Mus musculus: one gene and its partners. Each later gene encodes a partner of the first gene's protein in a complex. Links are inferred from orthologs where the notes say so. Each region holds a gene or a part of one and is shown in the gene's direction. Other genes may lie near its edges.

What was found.
Region 2: the proteins of Tbc1d23 (region 1) and Stx16 are in contact, whole or in part, in a crystal structure (PDB 8QQF), measured with the Homo sapiens proteins. The link is inferred for Mus musculus from reciprocal best matches to the Homo sapiens genes TBC1D23 and STX16. Residues at the interface, in NP_001186127.1 of Homo sapiens: Leu638, Asn639, Ser640, Val641, Val642, Lys643, Ile644, Thr645, Ser646, Lys647, Lys648, Ser661, Ser662, Ala663, Ile666, Thr683, Lys687, Ile690, Met691; in NP_001001433.1 of Homo sapiens: Asp209, Asp210, Asn211, Thr212, Leu213, Tyr214, His215, Arg216, Phe218, Thr219, Glu220.
Region 3: the proteins of Tbc1d23 (region 1) and Fam91a1 are in contact, whole or in part, in a crystal structure (PDB 8JJ9), measured with the Homo sapiens proteins. The link is inferred for Mus musculus from reciprocal best matches to the Homo sapiens genes TBC1D23 and FAM91A1. Residues at the interface, in NP_001186127.1 of Homo sapiens: Arg533, His534, Val535, Ser536, Ser537, Asp539, Val541, Gly542, Lys543, Pro544, Tyr545, Arg546, Val548, Pro550, Val551, Phe552; in NP_659400.3 of Homo sapiens: Arg49, Glu60, Arg61, Tyr64, Asp84, Ile85, Lys88, Gly89, Leu90, Arg91, Ile92, Thr93, Phe95, Ser96, Ile159, Pro161, Tyr176, Ile177, Thr178, Glu179, Asp181, Ile182, Lys190, Asp194, Ile197, Asp198, Tyr216, Asn217, Lys218, Gly219.

The regions. Positions count from the first base shown.
Region 1 is NC_000082.6:57,209,874-57,214,886, reverse strand, and holds part of Tbc1d23 (TBC1 domain family member 23), read left to right. Parts: intron 1-617; coding exon 618-723; intron 724-2,311; coding exon 2,312-2,516; intron 2,517-5,013. UniProt on the Homo sapiens protein: Putative Rab GTPase-activating protein which plays a role in vesicular trafficking. Involved in endosome-to-Golgi trafficking.
Region 2 is NC_000068.7:174,075,167-174,080,631, forward strand, and holds the start of Stx16 (syntaxin-16), read left to right. Parts: upstream 1-1,884; 5' UTR 1,885-1,891; coding exon 1,892-2,023; intron 2,024-5,465. UniProt on the Homo sapiens protein: SNARE involved in vesicular transport from the late endosomes to the trans-Golgi network.
Region 3 is NC_000081.6:58,427,899-58,432,911, forward strand, and holds part of Fam91a1 (protein FAM91A1), read left to right. Parts: intron 1-2,093; coding exon 2,094-2,200; intron 2,201-2,280; coding exon 2,281-2,319; intron 2,320-2,763; coding exon 2,764-2,876; intron 2,877-3,307; coding exon 3,308-3,423; intron 3,424-4,616; coding exon 4,617-4,729; intron 4,730-4,995; coding exon 4,996-5,013. UniProt on the Homo sapiens protein: As component of the WDR11 complex acts together with TBC1D23 to facilitate the golgin-mediated capture of vesicles generated using AP-1.

The DNA.
Region 1 (5,013 bases):
AATGATATAATGTGTGCTGCTTGGGTAACCATTACTCTGTCTTGGTTCTGGGAAACGGAGTAAGTAAAGGAGTAACCCGATTGCTAGTCAGAGCTGCAAGATTCCTCCAAGCACTGCTTCCGACTCCACACAGTAAGCTCTGTGATAGCCAGGGCTACCCAGAGAGACACTGTCTGAAACAACAAACAAACGAACAAACAAACAAACGAATGAGTAAGTAAGGGAATACATAAAATAGCTTTTACACGTACTTGAAAAAATTTACAAAATAACATTTTCTCAGTTCATTAAATATTCTTTATGTTTTTAAAATTGTACATGGTATAGGTATATTTTTATTTGACAGTATCATATGTTTAGTTTTTACATTTCAGAAAAGTTGGCTTTAAATAAAGCCATGTTTGTAAGTACACAAATATTTTGTAATTAATTCTCCCCACTGAATCAACATGAAATAGGAAAGTCTGATAAAGGAGCCTTTTGTTACATGGTGGTGGGGACACTTGATGATGTGTGGATACTTAGCTTGTAGTCTTTTGTTATTATTCCTAAAGTCTTGCCTTCCTTAACAGCATATTTTTAATATTTCTAATATTTTAATACTTTTTTTCTTCCAGATTGCTCTGAACGTTGCAGGGAAAGGTGATAGTTTGGCATCATGGGATGGTATTTTAGACTTGCCTGAGCAGAACACTATTCATAAAGATTGCCTTGAGTTTATCGGTAAGTTTGATAACCGTGAAAAATGTTATAATTTGGGATATCTTAAATTTGTAAATGTCTTGTAAATAGTTCTGCCCTTTAATAAACAAAATCTTGAGATACATAATTTTGAGAAAGAGCCAGGTTTTACTGTTTATTTTATAATATTGATTTTTCTTACACATTTATAGTTTTGTTATCCTCTTTACCTTGTTTCTCAGAATTGTAGGTTCACGTGATTATTTGCAGCCTTCAATTAGAAGAGCTTGTGTTCTGAATGTTTATTTATAAATAACAGGTCATGAGCTACTGTTTTCAGTTGTTACAAATCATAGATGAATAGTTTTCTAACCACCCTACAAAATCTGTGATAATTGATGGTACAGGTTAAGCTAATTCAATTTATACCTGTCTCTCTAATTCATTTATAATATCTTGGCCTCTTTGATTTTCTGTTACGTCTTAGTTAGCTAATGCATTGGTTAAATGGCTTCTGGGCACTGACTGTTCAGAAGCTGCAGTTTCTAGAATGTAGCTCAGTGGTGGCGCGCTTGCCTGGAATATATGTATGCAAGTTCTATCACCAGCTCTATTGACTGTCAGGCAGACAGACTGACAGACTTTATTACTAGTATGGACAAAAGAAAGGAAATTTGGACCAGAAATTTGAAGACTTTACATGATATGTATCCTATATTTCTGAGATCACCTTCATCTAAATAATGATGATATAGTTGTATTCATATTTAGTTTGTAGTTTATCTGTTTATTCTGTATGAGAGCTATCAGTATGAAAAGTCAGAGTTAGTTTTGCATGTGGATGTATGATTAGCATTATTATAAGATAAAAACTAAGATTTAAAATGAACAAAGGGAAGGAATAAAATACTGGATTTAATGGTAGAGAATGAATTACCCTTCTGCTTGCCAAAGCTGCACATGGTGGAGCAATTGGCAGTCTCCTTCGGAAGCATCCTTTGGCTTTCCAGCAGCTTGAGCTATGCCTGTCACTCCCTCCTGCCCTGCTTCACACTGGCCACTCCTGTGTTTAGCATACATATGGTCAATATTACTGAGTACCATTTGTTAGTAACTGTCTTCTGTCTTCCCTTTCTCTCAGGGCTAGGTAAGAAAACACATACACGAAACTGATAGTTGTTTTGTAATATCTGTCTTGCTTTAAGTTAAAACGAAGATTGGGAGACTATATTCAGCATGCAGTATTTCACTGTATGATGACGTCCTCATGTAACACAGTGCCGTGTACAATGAATATACACGATGGCAGCTTTAAAATGAAAACTAAAATGTTACAAAGGACATTGTTTACGTTTTTTCTTATGCTTTGCGCATGTGAGCCAATGTCTGTTAAATAGGAGACGGGCTAGACATAGCTCAGTGGGGAAACCTTTACCTAGCATATGTAAAGCCATGATCTGGTCTCACTACTACAAAAAATAAATATGAAGCAGACAATCACGAGACAGATTGCTCAGTGTTTCTGTTTTTTCATAGTTTAATACACTCACATGATGAGCGTGTGATGTAGTGTGCCCAGTCGCTAAGCCCTGTAGTTCCCTGATAACTTTAGTTTGATGCTTTATTCTAGAGCAGCTCTCAGTGCCAGAGGAGAAGGCAGCAGAATTACTCCTGGATATTGAATCTGTAATTACTTTTTACTGTAAATCACGCAGCGTTAAATACAGCACATCCCTGAGCTGGATTCATCTACTGAAACCATTGATCTGTCTCCAGCTGCCTCGCAGCGACCTATACAACTGCTTCTATGCCGTCATGAATAAGTACATTCCCAGGTAAAGTATGACTCAGTGGCTGTTAGAAAAGTCCGTTTCACTTTGAAATAAAGTTTTTTAGTTTTTTTGTTTTTGATGGTAAGGTAAAGCGGTCAAGTAATTTCTGAGGTTGCCTGAGGTATAGTTGCTCCTTGACTTTGTTCTTGTGACAAATACTTAACATTTTCATTTATCATGTATGTGTATGGGTGTTTTGCCTGCATGCATCTATACCACATGAGTGCCTGAGGAGGCAAGAAATGGGTGTCAGATTTCTGGACGTAAATTATGCTGGAAAAATACACTCACAGTGAGCTGCACTCCAATCTCTTGTTGAGGCTTTTTATTGGATAATGATATTAAGAGTCTATTCATCGCCTTTAATCCCAGCACTTGGGAGGCAGAGGCAGGCGGATTTCTGAGTTCAAGGCCAGCCTGGTCTACAAAGTGAGTTCCAGGACAGCCAGGACTATACAGAGAAACCCTGTTTCGAAAAACAAAAAGGAAAAAAAAAAAAAAAAAGAAAAGAAAAAAGAGTCTATTCATATGTTTATTGGTAAGTCCTTTATTGTCTTTGGCCACAAAACAGATCTATAGACAAAAATGATCTAGAGTAGAAAGAAACGTTGATTTGTCTGAAAGCCCCAGAAGTTTAAGTCTCAGCACGCTAAACCCATGCATATGTTTTCGAAAGCTCCCTAGAGATCATTGTTAGACCACAGCAGTGAACTTCTGTGCTTCCTTGAACTGTACTCCTCTGTAGAAAGCAAACAGGCTACAGTCCGACAACGCCGAAATCGGGACTCCACGTTAGGACTAACTCTGGCATACTATACCTGTCATCTGCTTGTGCTTTATGACTTCTTATGGGCATCTCTCATTTTAAGTCGTGGTGGTGGCACACACCTTTAATCTTAACACTCAGAAGGCAGAGGCAAGAAGACCTGTGAGTTCAAGGCCAGCCTGGTCTACAGAGTGATTTCCAGAACAGCCAGGGCTACACAGAGAAACCCTGTCACACACACACAAAAAAAAACAACCAACTAGCCAACATCAGCAAAACCAGAGAGAGAGAGAGAGAGGAGAGAGAGAGTTTGTGTGTGTGTGTGTGTGTGTGTGTGTGACATGGGTAGTTATGTTGCGCTGAGTCACACTCTGCCTTGTCACATTCTTCCAGTTCCTATTTCTGTGAGTTCTGTATTTAACATGGCACTCTAGCTATTGCTGGTAGAAAGAACATTGAACACTGAGCCCACAGACTGCTTATGGAAGAATCCCTTTTCAATATATCCTCTAATGACTGGATTACAAGATGGGTAGAGCTGTATCCAGCACAAGCCCTTGCCGTTAGAGTGACATTGCAGTATACAGACAGCCCTTAAATGAGTGCTGTTTCAGTGGCTCCCTCCCAGGGATGTTCACTGGTCCAGAAGATGAGGCCAGTTACCTTATGTTCCAGTGGTTTCCTGCCTCTGTGCTCTACCTTAGCATTCGATTGCTCTGCAGTTACCCAACTGGGAACGTGTTCAGACTTAGAACTACTCTCACAGGGATAAATCCAGTTCTGTCTCTGGCCTTCTGTGCACTGCTGTTTGTAATACCTAAGTGGGGAGATTTGAGCGGTGGGCATAGGAACTGGAGAGTTACGGCTCAGCAGGTAAGAGAATAGACTCTTTTTTCTTTTCTTTTTTTTTTTTTTCTTTTTGTTTTTCGAAACAGGCAGCTCATGCAGAGGACCCAGGTTCTACTCTCAGTGTTCCATGGCAGCTCCAACTGTCCCCCAAAACAAAAATAACAAGGTAGTGATAGCTGAAAGTCATAACAAACCATGGCAGGGATATAAAATATTATATTTACATAAGTAATTTTCATTTATTCCCTTTGGATAGCATTTTTACTTATTTTTACTTTTGTAGTTCTGAGAATTGAACCTATGTCTTCACACATACCAAGTATATGTTCCATCACTGAACTAAACTCCCATCTCTAAATAATATTTAAAATATCCGTAATGATGCTTTTAAAAGTATTTTATTACATTTATTTATTGCGTATGCATGCATGCACATGTGCATGCTATGGCGTGGATGTGGGGAGGTCCAAGGACAGTAGGTGGAAATTGGTTCTCCCACATCATGTGGATTCCAGGGATTGAATTTAGGTCTTGAGGCTTAGTGGCCCAGCGGCGCTACCCACTGAGCCGTCGTGCTGGCCTCAATGATGTTCCGTGGTAAGGCTGTGATAGTCACTTAGTGGCTGTTGTAAGCACAACTTTTTACTTTGCTTCATTTTCTGTATAGTTTGCTTTTAAAGACTGTACCCCTGCAAAAACAGCTTGTTGAATTATGCATAGATTTTACATGTGGAAAGATGGCCATATTGCATAATGAGCTAAGGCCCAGTGTCTGGGTTCAAGTCCTTGCTCTCTAATTTGTTATTGCTAGTTTGTGGCTTTCAGTGGCAGACTTGACCTCAACTGAGCCTCAGTTGTAATGAGTATGGTGATCAATAGGGTTGT
Region 2 (5,465 bases), on another chromosome or scaffold:
CCATGCATTCATTGTGTTATGTGTCTCAAAGATACTTTTCATACGGATACTGTTGCACACAAGCACAGGAGCACCCGCTCTTAAAAGCAAAAGCACCCGGGGCTCAAGAGCCTGACCCTACGCGCGGCTCCCACGCCTGCCTCCTGGCACCCGGGAGAGGCAGGGGACCCTCAAGTCAGGCCAAACTGTTCCCAATCTGATCCCAAAGCTGAGAGCAAGATTGAGGGCAAGACACCCCATAAAGTCGCTCTGCAGATATTGGTCTGTCATCCAGGCTTGCCGGTGACCCCAGCCTCCGGAGCTGCTGTTCACTGAGTGCGGCAGCTGCAGCCCTGGGGGGCCCTGGGAGACGCCCCCACCCCCCAAGCCAGGGTAGCAACGAGTGGGATGCATGGTTCCAGAGACTGGGAGGCGACCAGAAACCCCAGCTCGAGGAAACGTGGGCATAACCTCAACACAAAGTACTTTTTGGGGGAGTGGGGCTGAGGGGTTGTCTCTAAGTTTAGGAACCTTTCCCACTTGGGCACAACATTGTAGTGCCCAAGTGTAGATGCCTGACCACTCTTTATTGCCCACAGTAAGGCCAGCAAGGCCTAGCGCCCAAGCTTTTTTTATTATTATTTTTTTCTTTTTTCCCTGGCCTGGTTGTTTTTCGGATACTTTTTTTTTTCTCACAGTTTAAAGAAAAAAAATAAAAAAATAAAAAGGTAAGGCCATCTCAGCAGCGCCAGGCGCCTGCAGTGGAGCGTGCCTGGCCTGCAGAGGCAGACTTCTTCCACTTTTCCTCCGCCCCCGCGCAGGACTAGGCTCTGCAAGAGCCACGTTTCCACATTTCTGCCTGCCTGACAATCCTACTAGAAGTTTACAATTGCCTGGACCCCAGTGGTGGTCTTCGGCTCCAGGGCCAAGGTTTTGAAGCCGTTTTTTGGGGCCAGGACGCCTGCCCCAGAGTCTGTACACTCTTAGGAAAAGGGGAAGAAGGCGCCCCGGGAACTGTCCCAGAGAGGGCGGAGCACTCCCATCCCGGGGCAGGGCAATAAGGGAGCTCCCGCTCCCGGAACGTTGCAAGCAATCTCATGAATGTCGCAGGGGGGCACCCGCGAGGAACGGACAGGAAGAGGGCCGGGGGAATGCTAGAGCCCGGGACCACTGCACGGAAGCGGCCTTGGGCAGGGTTGCAGCCTGATCCCGGGATGGAGGGTGCCGGTGAAGAGGAGTGAGGAGGCTGGGGGAGGCAGGCCGTGAGGTCCTCGTGGAGGCCCGCAGCCTCCTGGCAGTGGAGAAGCAGGCCGCACAGGAAAGAGAGGGGTCAGGTCGGGCTGAGCCTCAGTAGGCTCAGGCGACTATATGGGAGCTGTAGACGCTCCTTTGTCGTTGTGGGCTCGGCCTGTTTGGAGCAGGCCTTTTGTGAGGAGAGTTAACCCAAACTCGGAGTTAGAGCCACATGCCGGGCACGCAGGCGCTCTGAGTTAGGGTTAGGGCGCCAGCACCTTTGGGGAGGTCTTAGGAAGTGAGTGGGTAGGGGTCTCTCCCATCCCCGAGCCGGATTGGCGCGTCAGGCGCTTGTGGATCCGAGCTGGGATTGGGGAGGGGTCTCCAGGACGTTTGATTTCGACGCTAGGATTGGGGGGATTCGAGTGCTTTGAGATCCGAGCCAGCCTTGGGGTAGGGGGAGTCAGGCAGTTGGAAAAGGCGAGGTGGTTATTTGGGGAGGGGTCTCCGCGCTTAGGCGGATTGCAAAATCGCGCCGTGAAAAGCCTAAGGCTTTGTCAAGAGAGATTTCTGTGCAAGAGTGGAATCAGCTAGGCCAGACCAAGAGAGAAAGTGAACAAATCAGGACTACAAGGGGGGGTGGGAGACCCTGAGAGGGGGGGTCACAAAGGGGGAGACAATGGCCACCAGGCGTTTAACCGACGCTTTCTTGTTGTTGCGGAATAATTCCATCCAAACCCGGCAGCTGTTAGCCGAGCAAGTGAGTAGTCACACCACCTCCAGCCCTCTGCATTCACGTAGCATTGCTGCGGTGAGTCTTCCTGGCGGCCTCTCCAGACACACACACCGTGTGCACTGCGGCTCTGCCTGTCTGTCTGTCTCTTGTCTGTCTCTCTGTCTAAAAAGAAAAAAAAAAAAGAAAAAAAGAACAACAACAATAACAAGGCGACGACGACTAGGAGTGTGATACAGAAGGAAGTGGAGCACGGCCATGGCTTATGGGGCACTTGCAACCCCCAATGGGGACCACAGTATCAACCCCTGCCCTGCCTTCTCACTTCCTGGGCCTCCTGGTCCTCCTCCCCCACCATCCGTCGGGCAGCCTCGATTTACATATGTTTTAACACGAGGACTTGGAACCTAGGCCTTTCTCCAACCTTCTTTTTGTTTTGTTCTGTTCTGTTTGGCACTCCCCCCCCCCCCCCCTGCAATGGCCTCACTTTGGTTCTGTGGGCCAGGTGGGTGGTTAGCTGACTCAAATCCTTGCAGACCCCCCCCCCCCAGGAAGGAGTGTGTGTGTGTGTGTGTGTGTGTGTGTGTGTGTGTGTGGTCTGCTCAGCTCAGCTCATTTTCTTTCCCACTATTTTTCTTCCAATGGCCCTAGTTCTCGGTGTGGCCATGTACACTAGGAGTAATTGCTTTGCTGCCCCCCCCCCCCGCCCTCCCCCCTCCGAGGACTCATGTTGGTGAGATTGCAAGGTGCTAGGCGCTTCATTTTCCATTTCCCACACAGGAAATTAAGCTTCTCCATTCGAACTTTTTTTTAAAAAAACAAAACAAAACAAAAAAAGGAACCAACATGATGCGGATGTGAAAATTAATCCCCCAAAATAGCACATGGCTTTTGATTTTATTGACCAGAACTTCACTTCGCCTAGCAGTGTAGGGTTTTGTTATTGTTGTTGTTCTTTTTCAAAGCAATGTTCCAGTATGATTGCTGTATTTGGTTTGTTTTTGATGGAGGCTTTGGCTTCCAGAGCCTCAGTTTCCTGCTCTCTCAGATAGGGGGCGGGTCTGAATGGTGCAGCCAGATGAATATTGTTAGCTTTGTAATAATACCTTTAATTGAAAAGGGAAGGTTTGAATGGAAGCAGCCTTGAAACATGGGGGAATGCACGGTCACCCCACGACCTTAGGGGCTGCATTTGAAACATAGTTCGTGAAACGCTGCAGCTTTCCCGCCTTTTAAACAGTTGCCTTTTAATTTTTTCCTTTTATCATTTATGGAAGTGCTAATGAAAAACTAAGCTGTGTATCGTGATTGTCACTGTCTTGCCAGGACAGTTGTCCCTGTTTAGGTCACGGTGGAAAATATGTTTGACCATATTATTCACAGAAAAGGGATTTTTTATTCTGTGCAAGCAGTTTTAAGGATAAAAGGATGCAGGATGTTAACTTCGGTCCCAAGGCATAGAAAACTAGCTCGGAGTGTGTTGGGGCTTTTGTTTACATTTACATTTGAAGGATGTTTTACATTTTTAGACTGAAAGAAATAATATTACATAGAAATAAGTAGGAAACAAATCTTAGCATGGAAATGTGTTCATTCTAATGTGGTTTTTGAAAAGAGTCTCCAGAAATAAACCGGAGAAATAGTGAATGAATATAATCTGTGGGCCTTCAGTTATGTTAAATAAAGGTCTCCTGTTCTTTATGACTTAATTTTATGCTACCTCATGGGGGAAAACAAACAAAACAAAACAGAGCCAAACCCACGCTAAAGCTTCCAGGGTCTCTGTTTAAATTGATGAAAAAGATACTGTTTGGTTTTTAAATTTTAATTCTGTAAAGTTCTAAGTAGCTTTAATCTTTAGATTACCTGAGAGAAAAAATTTGACCCTTAATTCAGAGAGTTTAAAACACAGTATCTTGGACCGGCACCTTTTCAAAAACACGTTGCTGTGTCCAATTACTTTTTAAATATTTTTCTAAATTAGACAATTTGAACATATCTGTTTGTGTATCTATCTATCTATATATGGAATAAAATAATTTAAAATGTTTAAAATAATATGTGGTTTGGAAAAGCAGGCAATGTTAAGAAATATACAGCTATATTTAACAAATTCAGACAGTTTTTTTGAAAGTGATTTATAAGTACAGCTAAAATTCATGTTGAAGTCAAGAACATTAAAAATATTTTCATATGTCACACTACTGAAAATACTGGATGCTTTTATTAGCCGGTGCTTCTGGAATTTTTCTTAGATAACTAAAAAGGACTCAAGTCCGTGGAAATACCTGTGTGTTCAGTTTAGATTGCCTCCCCCCACCAAAAAAAAAAAACAAAAAAACAAAAAACAAAACAAAAAAACCCCAGCTTTTTTTCAGTCCAACAAAAATAGTCTACCTAAATTACAATTTAAAAAACAAAAGTGCATTTTCATATTTCTGCATTTTTCTCTGTGTTTCCGACTGTTAATTTTCAATTTCTTCATAAGGTTTTTCCACAAACTATTTCTGCACACAAAATAATCAAGAATATCAAGATATTAACAGGATAGAGATTACAGTTTTTAATAATTCTTTTGGAAGTCAAAAAAGCATTATAAATATTTTGTAAAAAGAAAAGATATGCTTAAGACAATTTTTGAAAACTACAACATCATGCATACAGTGCTTCTAGCTCAGAACAAATTTGAGAACCACATTTTTGTCTTGCAGATTTCAAAATCATGTAGTAAATCAAAAGTTTATTGATCAGCTTTGAATATGGACAAGATATTAGAAATTGTAATTAGATTTGTTAATTGTACTAGATATCTTGAAATGCTTAATACTAAAGGAGCGCTCACTTTATATATTCTGCTTTCAAAGGTAAAGGGAGCGGGAAAGCTGAGCTCCTGACTGAGCTCCAGAGGTGCAGCTTACCCCAGGGACTTTAGCCACATTACTTTCCTATTTTCTTTTTTCCAGCAGATTTTTCAGCTTGGAAAAATTGCAAATAAAAACTTAAAAGTATAAACTTGTCTTAGTCACCTAAGACAAAAGAGACAATTTGTAGATGCATATTTAAACTTAGATAATTAAAAAGGAAGTAACCAAGCCAGAGAATTTGATTTTTAAAATACATTACCTGGAAATTTAAATTTCTAATTAGAAGACCAAACTGTAGACATTGATTTTGGTGTGTGTGCTGTCTCATGTGTAACCAAATGTAAGTATCTAAAATAATAGATTATTTAAATTTTAATATCAAGCTTTTATGTCCTTATATGAAAACAGTACTACAGAAATGGCTTGCTGGGAGGTTTGTGTATGTGCCTGTCTCACACAACTCAAAACAAACCACAGTGGAAGCCTGAACTTGTAAAAGCATTAAGCCCATATTTTTTAAATAGTAGTTTGAAGAAAAAGCTGTAAGTTTGTTGGTGATGGTTGCTGTAGGAGACCGTGCATGCAATGTAGACTTACAGCTAGGTGCAGGTAGACGTGCTGCAAACAAGAATGGATTTCAGGAGGATTTGCAGCAG
Region 3 (5,013 bases), on another chromosome or scaffold:
TTATTCTAGTCCCCATTCTTATCTGATTCTTATCTTAGCTGACTTAACTCATTTGAAATTTACTCAAAAGTTGGATTAGATTGGATTTATTCATTTCAGTCTGTTTTAACTGCTATTTGAACACCTCTTTGTTTTGAGGTTCTAATGTAGCCCAAGATCACCTCTCTTTCCCTCCTGTACTTTTTTTTTTTTTTTTTTCTCAAAAAGAAGACCCTGTCTCATAGCAGGTGTCCTGGTCTTTTGACTCTTACAGTCTTTTTTTTCTATATGTGTGTTTTACTGCTCCAGTGTCTATATTTTCCTTTATTTCTTTAAAAAGTACTTAAAGATTTTCATTGGAGAATTATATAATATACATACACACAAAATTCTAAATAATTTGCAGTCTGTCTGAAACATGTTTTTATATTTGAGATGAAATAATGCTTTTATTGTATTTGGCTGACCAGTATCTTTTATTTCAGAAAGTGTTTTTATTATTATGTATTTACATGTACACGTGTATGTACTACAGTATATGTACCTAGAGCTGGAGTTGCAAGAACAACCATGTTCTCAACCACTGAGCCATCTCTCCAGCCCAGTGGCCAGGGTCTTAGAAGGACAAATGCACAGCTGGCTTCTGACCCATAGCTTAAGCTGGATTTTACTAAATACTTTATGTTAATTTAATACACATTAGAAACTGATTTTATATTTCTGTAAGTTTTCTCATGTTATTATCCAGATATAAATTATATGTTGAAATGTCTAACTTCTTAGGACCTTAGTATCACCAAGGAAGGGATAATTGTAATACTGTACAACTTGTACGGCTAAAAGATGAAGTGGTGAATGCATTGTATTTGGCAGGTGTTCAGCACCTAGCAAGTATTCATTCAGGAAATGCTTGGACACAGCAGTACTGTAGCATAAGTTTTAACTTGTTAGGTAGGGAATTGCTAAAACATTTCTTTTTTCTTTTCTTTTTTTTTTAAAGATGTATATATTTATTTTATGTATGTGAATATACTGTTGCTGTCTTCAGACACACCAGAAGAGGGCATCAGATCCCATTACAGATGGTTGTGAGCCACCATGTCGTTGCTGGGAATTGAACTCAGGACCTCTGAAGTAGTAGTCAGTGCCCTTAACTGCTGAGCCATCTTTCCAGCCCTGCTAAACATTTCTAAAAAGGAACCCTTAGTTTTTATTACTGGAAAAAATGTAGTGGCCTGTGCTCTCCACTTTTCTGTGAGATTTCATTTTTTTACATTTTCCTTTGTGTATATGAGTGCATATGTTCCATGGACATGTTGTGTTTGTGTGAAAGGAAGTCATAGGGCGCCTTTCAGGAGTCTAATTCTCTCTGCCATGTGGGTGACTGAGTGTGGGTTGTTGGGCTTGCCATCCATCCAGTGCTGTTTTGCTGGCTCTTTCCCAGGATGTTTTGAAGGGATGCGTACACATGGAAGAATGTGAACAAAAGCACACGCCTTCTTTACTGTACTAGGCAGAGTTTGCTGCTAAATCAGATGAAAGCATTTGGACAAAACAGAGAGAGAGAGAGAGAGAGAGAGAGAGAGAGAGAGAGCTTGAATATGAATGGACACTCTACCACAGTGGCTGCTGTGTGCTGGTCTTGACCTTTGGCCCCTTAGTGACCTCTGCGGACTTGTTTCTTCTCAGGGTGAACTAGAGATGGGGGAGGCAGCCAACCTTCCTCCACTTGTTCCCAAGGCGTCTGTTAACTCTCTGACAGTCAGTCTTCCTTCTGCTGCACATTTTCTTGGCCTATAGGCATCAAAAGCACCGCTCTCTCAACCCTTCTGAGGCTCAGCCCCGCTCGTGTCTTTTCACTAAGGCTGAACGGTCTAGTATTCTCTTTGCCTCAGTAATTGAGAGTTCCTTGTGAACCTTCAGACAGCTCTGTGTAGGTGATGTTGTGTGGGCCTTAATTGTGGGAACTTCTGAAAGGTTGCTATGGAGTGGATGAATTGCATAGAAGCTGTATTCAATTTCTGAAAGATTTCTCTTTTTGCACAGGCATTTGAGTTACACTCTGTTGTTTTATGAAACCCAGTGCTGAGAAAAGTCCGTTTTGTTTATTTCAGTCCCCCCTCTGGAAGGCTTTGTAATGAATCGGGTACAAGGTGATTATTTTGAAACCCTACTCTATAAGATATTTGTGTCTATAGATGAACACACTAATGTTGCAGAGGTAAGTGTGGCAAAAACATTCTTGAGAGGACTTACTGATAATTCTGAGATGGAACGGTAATTTTCACTTTTGTTTTCTAGCTTGCAAATGTCCTTGAGATAGACTTATCGCTGGTGAAGGTATGTTTTTGTTTTTGTTTTTTTTTTTTTTAACCCGTTGTAATGTGAGTACTGGGTGGATTTTGCTAGTTGATTTTCATCTTGATACATTACTTACTGATTCTTATTGGCTGCTTGAGGGAGTCTGCATGGTAGAGGGATGGTTGCAGAGCGAGAAAGGGCAAGGTGGAAGCCCTTAGTCTGTTTTCCACCAGGTGGGATGAAATAGAGCACTCACATGAATGTGGGCACCGAGAAGCAGCCTGGTCAGTATCTTGTTAAAGCTGTAACTCCAGCCTCCTTAGTAGAGGATCTAGGGACCGCAGTCCTGGCTCAGACTGTTCTGTGGGCACGGTACAGGAGGAACTCTGGCACATCACCAGAGGCTTAGTTTTGGAAGGTAATTTTTTCCTTCAAATAATCTGATGTCTGTTTTAATGCTAATTTTCCTTCTGTTCCTTTCAGAATGCTGTTTCAATGTATTGCCGATTGGGCTTTGCCCATAAGAAGGGACAAGTGATAAATTTGGATCAACTTCATTCGTCATGGAAGAATGTTCCATCTGTGAATAGACTAAAGTAATTCATTTGTCCTTTATGACAGTTTCCTTTTGAAAAGAATTTTTACATGCAGAAAGGTTTTTTTGTTTTTGTTTTTATTTTTATTAATTTACTCTGCCAATTGAGGTGAATCCTGTATACTAGTGCCTCAGTCATCTGGGTATGATGGATCTTCTGTATAATCTGATGGAGAGCAAGAACTCGTTGTTTAGGAAAAAAGCGCATACACTATTTTATAAACTTAAGAAATGAGAAGAACGTGTGCCTGGGTTTTAGTCACAGTGCTCTTTATGGCCAGAGCAGATTGAGAACTCGTCTCAGTCTCAGATGTGTGCATTGGCTTATGTTCGGGTGGATTGTTCACAGTTGCAAGTACCAACTTCAGTAGCTGTGTTCACGTGAGATCATTTATGTGCTTTTAAAAACATGAATGTATTTTTCATTAATAGGAGCACATTAGACCCACAAAAGATGCTCTTATCGTGGGATGGCGGGGAGAGTAGGAGTCCCGTGCAAGAAGCCTCTTCTGCTACTGACACAGACACAAATAGTCAAGAGGATCCAGGTCAGCAGCCGCTCACCTCAGTGTGCTTTACAGTCTGTCTGTCGGTGCGCCCTATGTCCAGACACAGCCCTGCATCTCCTTTATAGCTCTGCTTTTGGCTTCCTATGTGGTGTGCAGTCTGAGTCCTTACCAGTGTTGTGAACACCGAAGGTATAGGACAAATAAGAACGTGGCATTTACTGTCAGGAAGTTAAGTTGAGGGAGGAAGGGATGGAGTATAGCCCCCCAACATAAATAGTCGTAGTGTCTGGGGCTGCAAAAATAAACAAAGTCCCAACCTTTGCCTTCAGGAATAGGATGTGGTTAGAGCGGCTGTGAATTCACTGGTCACACAGGAAAGGCCATGTTAGCCAGAGAGAGAGTGCCAGCTAAGGCCAAAGGGAGACGCTGAGGGTACTCGGAGCCTGGGCTGGCCTTTCTCCTGTTCTGCCTGTCACCTGGGCCACACACTCAGGAACATAAGCCTGTTGGTAGTGCTTATTGAGCTGATGATTACCAAGGATGTTTGTTTATGGTTTTCAAGGAAATTAACTGTGCTTGTAGGCTTTTCTCTTGCTCTGATAAAACACCAAGACCAAAAGCAACTTGAGGAGGAAAAGGGTTTATTTGAGCTTCCAGCTCACAGCCCGTTGTGAAGGGAAGCCAAGACAGAAACAAGCAGGAGTTCAGGCAAAGGCCCCTGAGGAGTGCTGCTCACTGGTTTGCTCCCCAGGCTCCAGCTCTTTCTCATACTTCCCAGGACCATCTGCACAGAGCTGGGCCCTCCCACATCAATCAGTAGTCAAGAAAATGCCCCACTTATGTGCCTTCAGGCTAGTGTCTCAGAGATATTTTCTCAATTGAGATTCTCCCTTCTTCAGTGATCCTGGCTTGTATCAGTTTGATTTGACAAACTAGCGCAAGAACACAAATCTAAATGTCTTAAAAAAAAAAAAAAGAAAGAAAGAAATGGTACATATCTGTAATCTTTGTACCAGGGAGCTAGATGCAGGAGGATTGGAATTCAAGGCCAGTCCTTGCTACATAGTGAGACCCTGATGCAAAATACTTGAATATCTTAAGACTATGGTATTGGTTATATTTAATTAAGTTTGTTTGGCTGTTCAGATAAAGCTGAAGCAAAAACTTAGTTCAGAAGATAAGCAAAGAAGGCTTTCATTGACTTGATTCCATATTTCATTTTTTTCTTTCAGCTGACACGGCCAGTGTGAGCAGTTTGAGTCTGTCCACTGGGTACACAAAGCGAATTGCATTCCTGTTTGACTCCACTCTGACTGCATTCTTAATGATGGGAAACCTTTCACCGGTGAGTGGTATGCTGTGGGTGTAACGAGGTTTCAGTAAAGATAAGATATAAAGTCATTTGCTGCTGTGCAAATGTCTTTAAGATTAGAACAGGTCCTGAAAGCAGCCAGCTGTGTTACATTCCTGTGAGCAGTGTGAGTGTCCAATGAGGAGTGAAGCACACGCTCACGTTGCCTGTCCTTCAGTTTTAATGTAGTAGAAGCATAGTAAATGTTGTTAGCATAAAAAAAGGAAAAGCAGAGTTTAATAATGTGCTTCTTTTTGCAGAACTTGAAAAGCCACGCA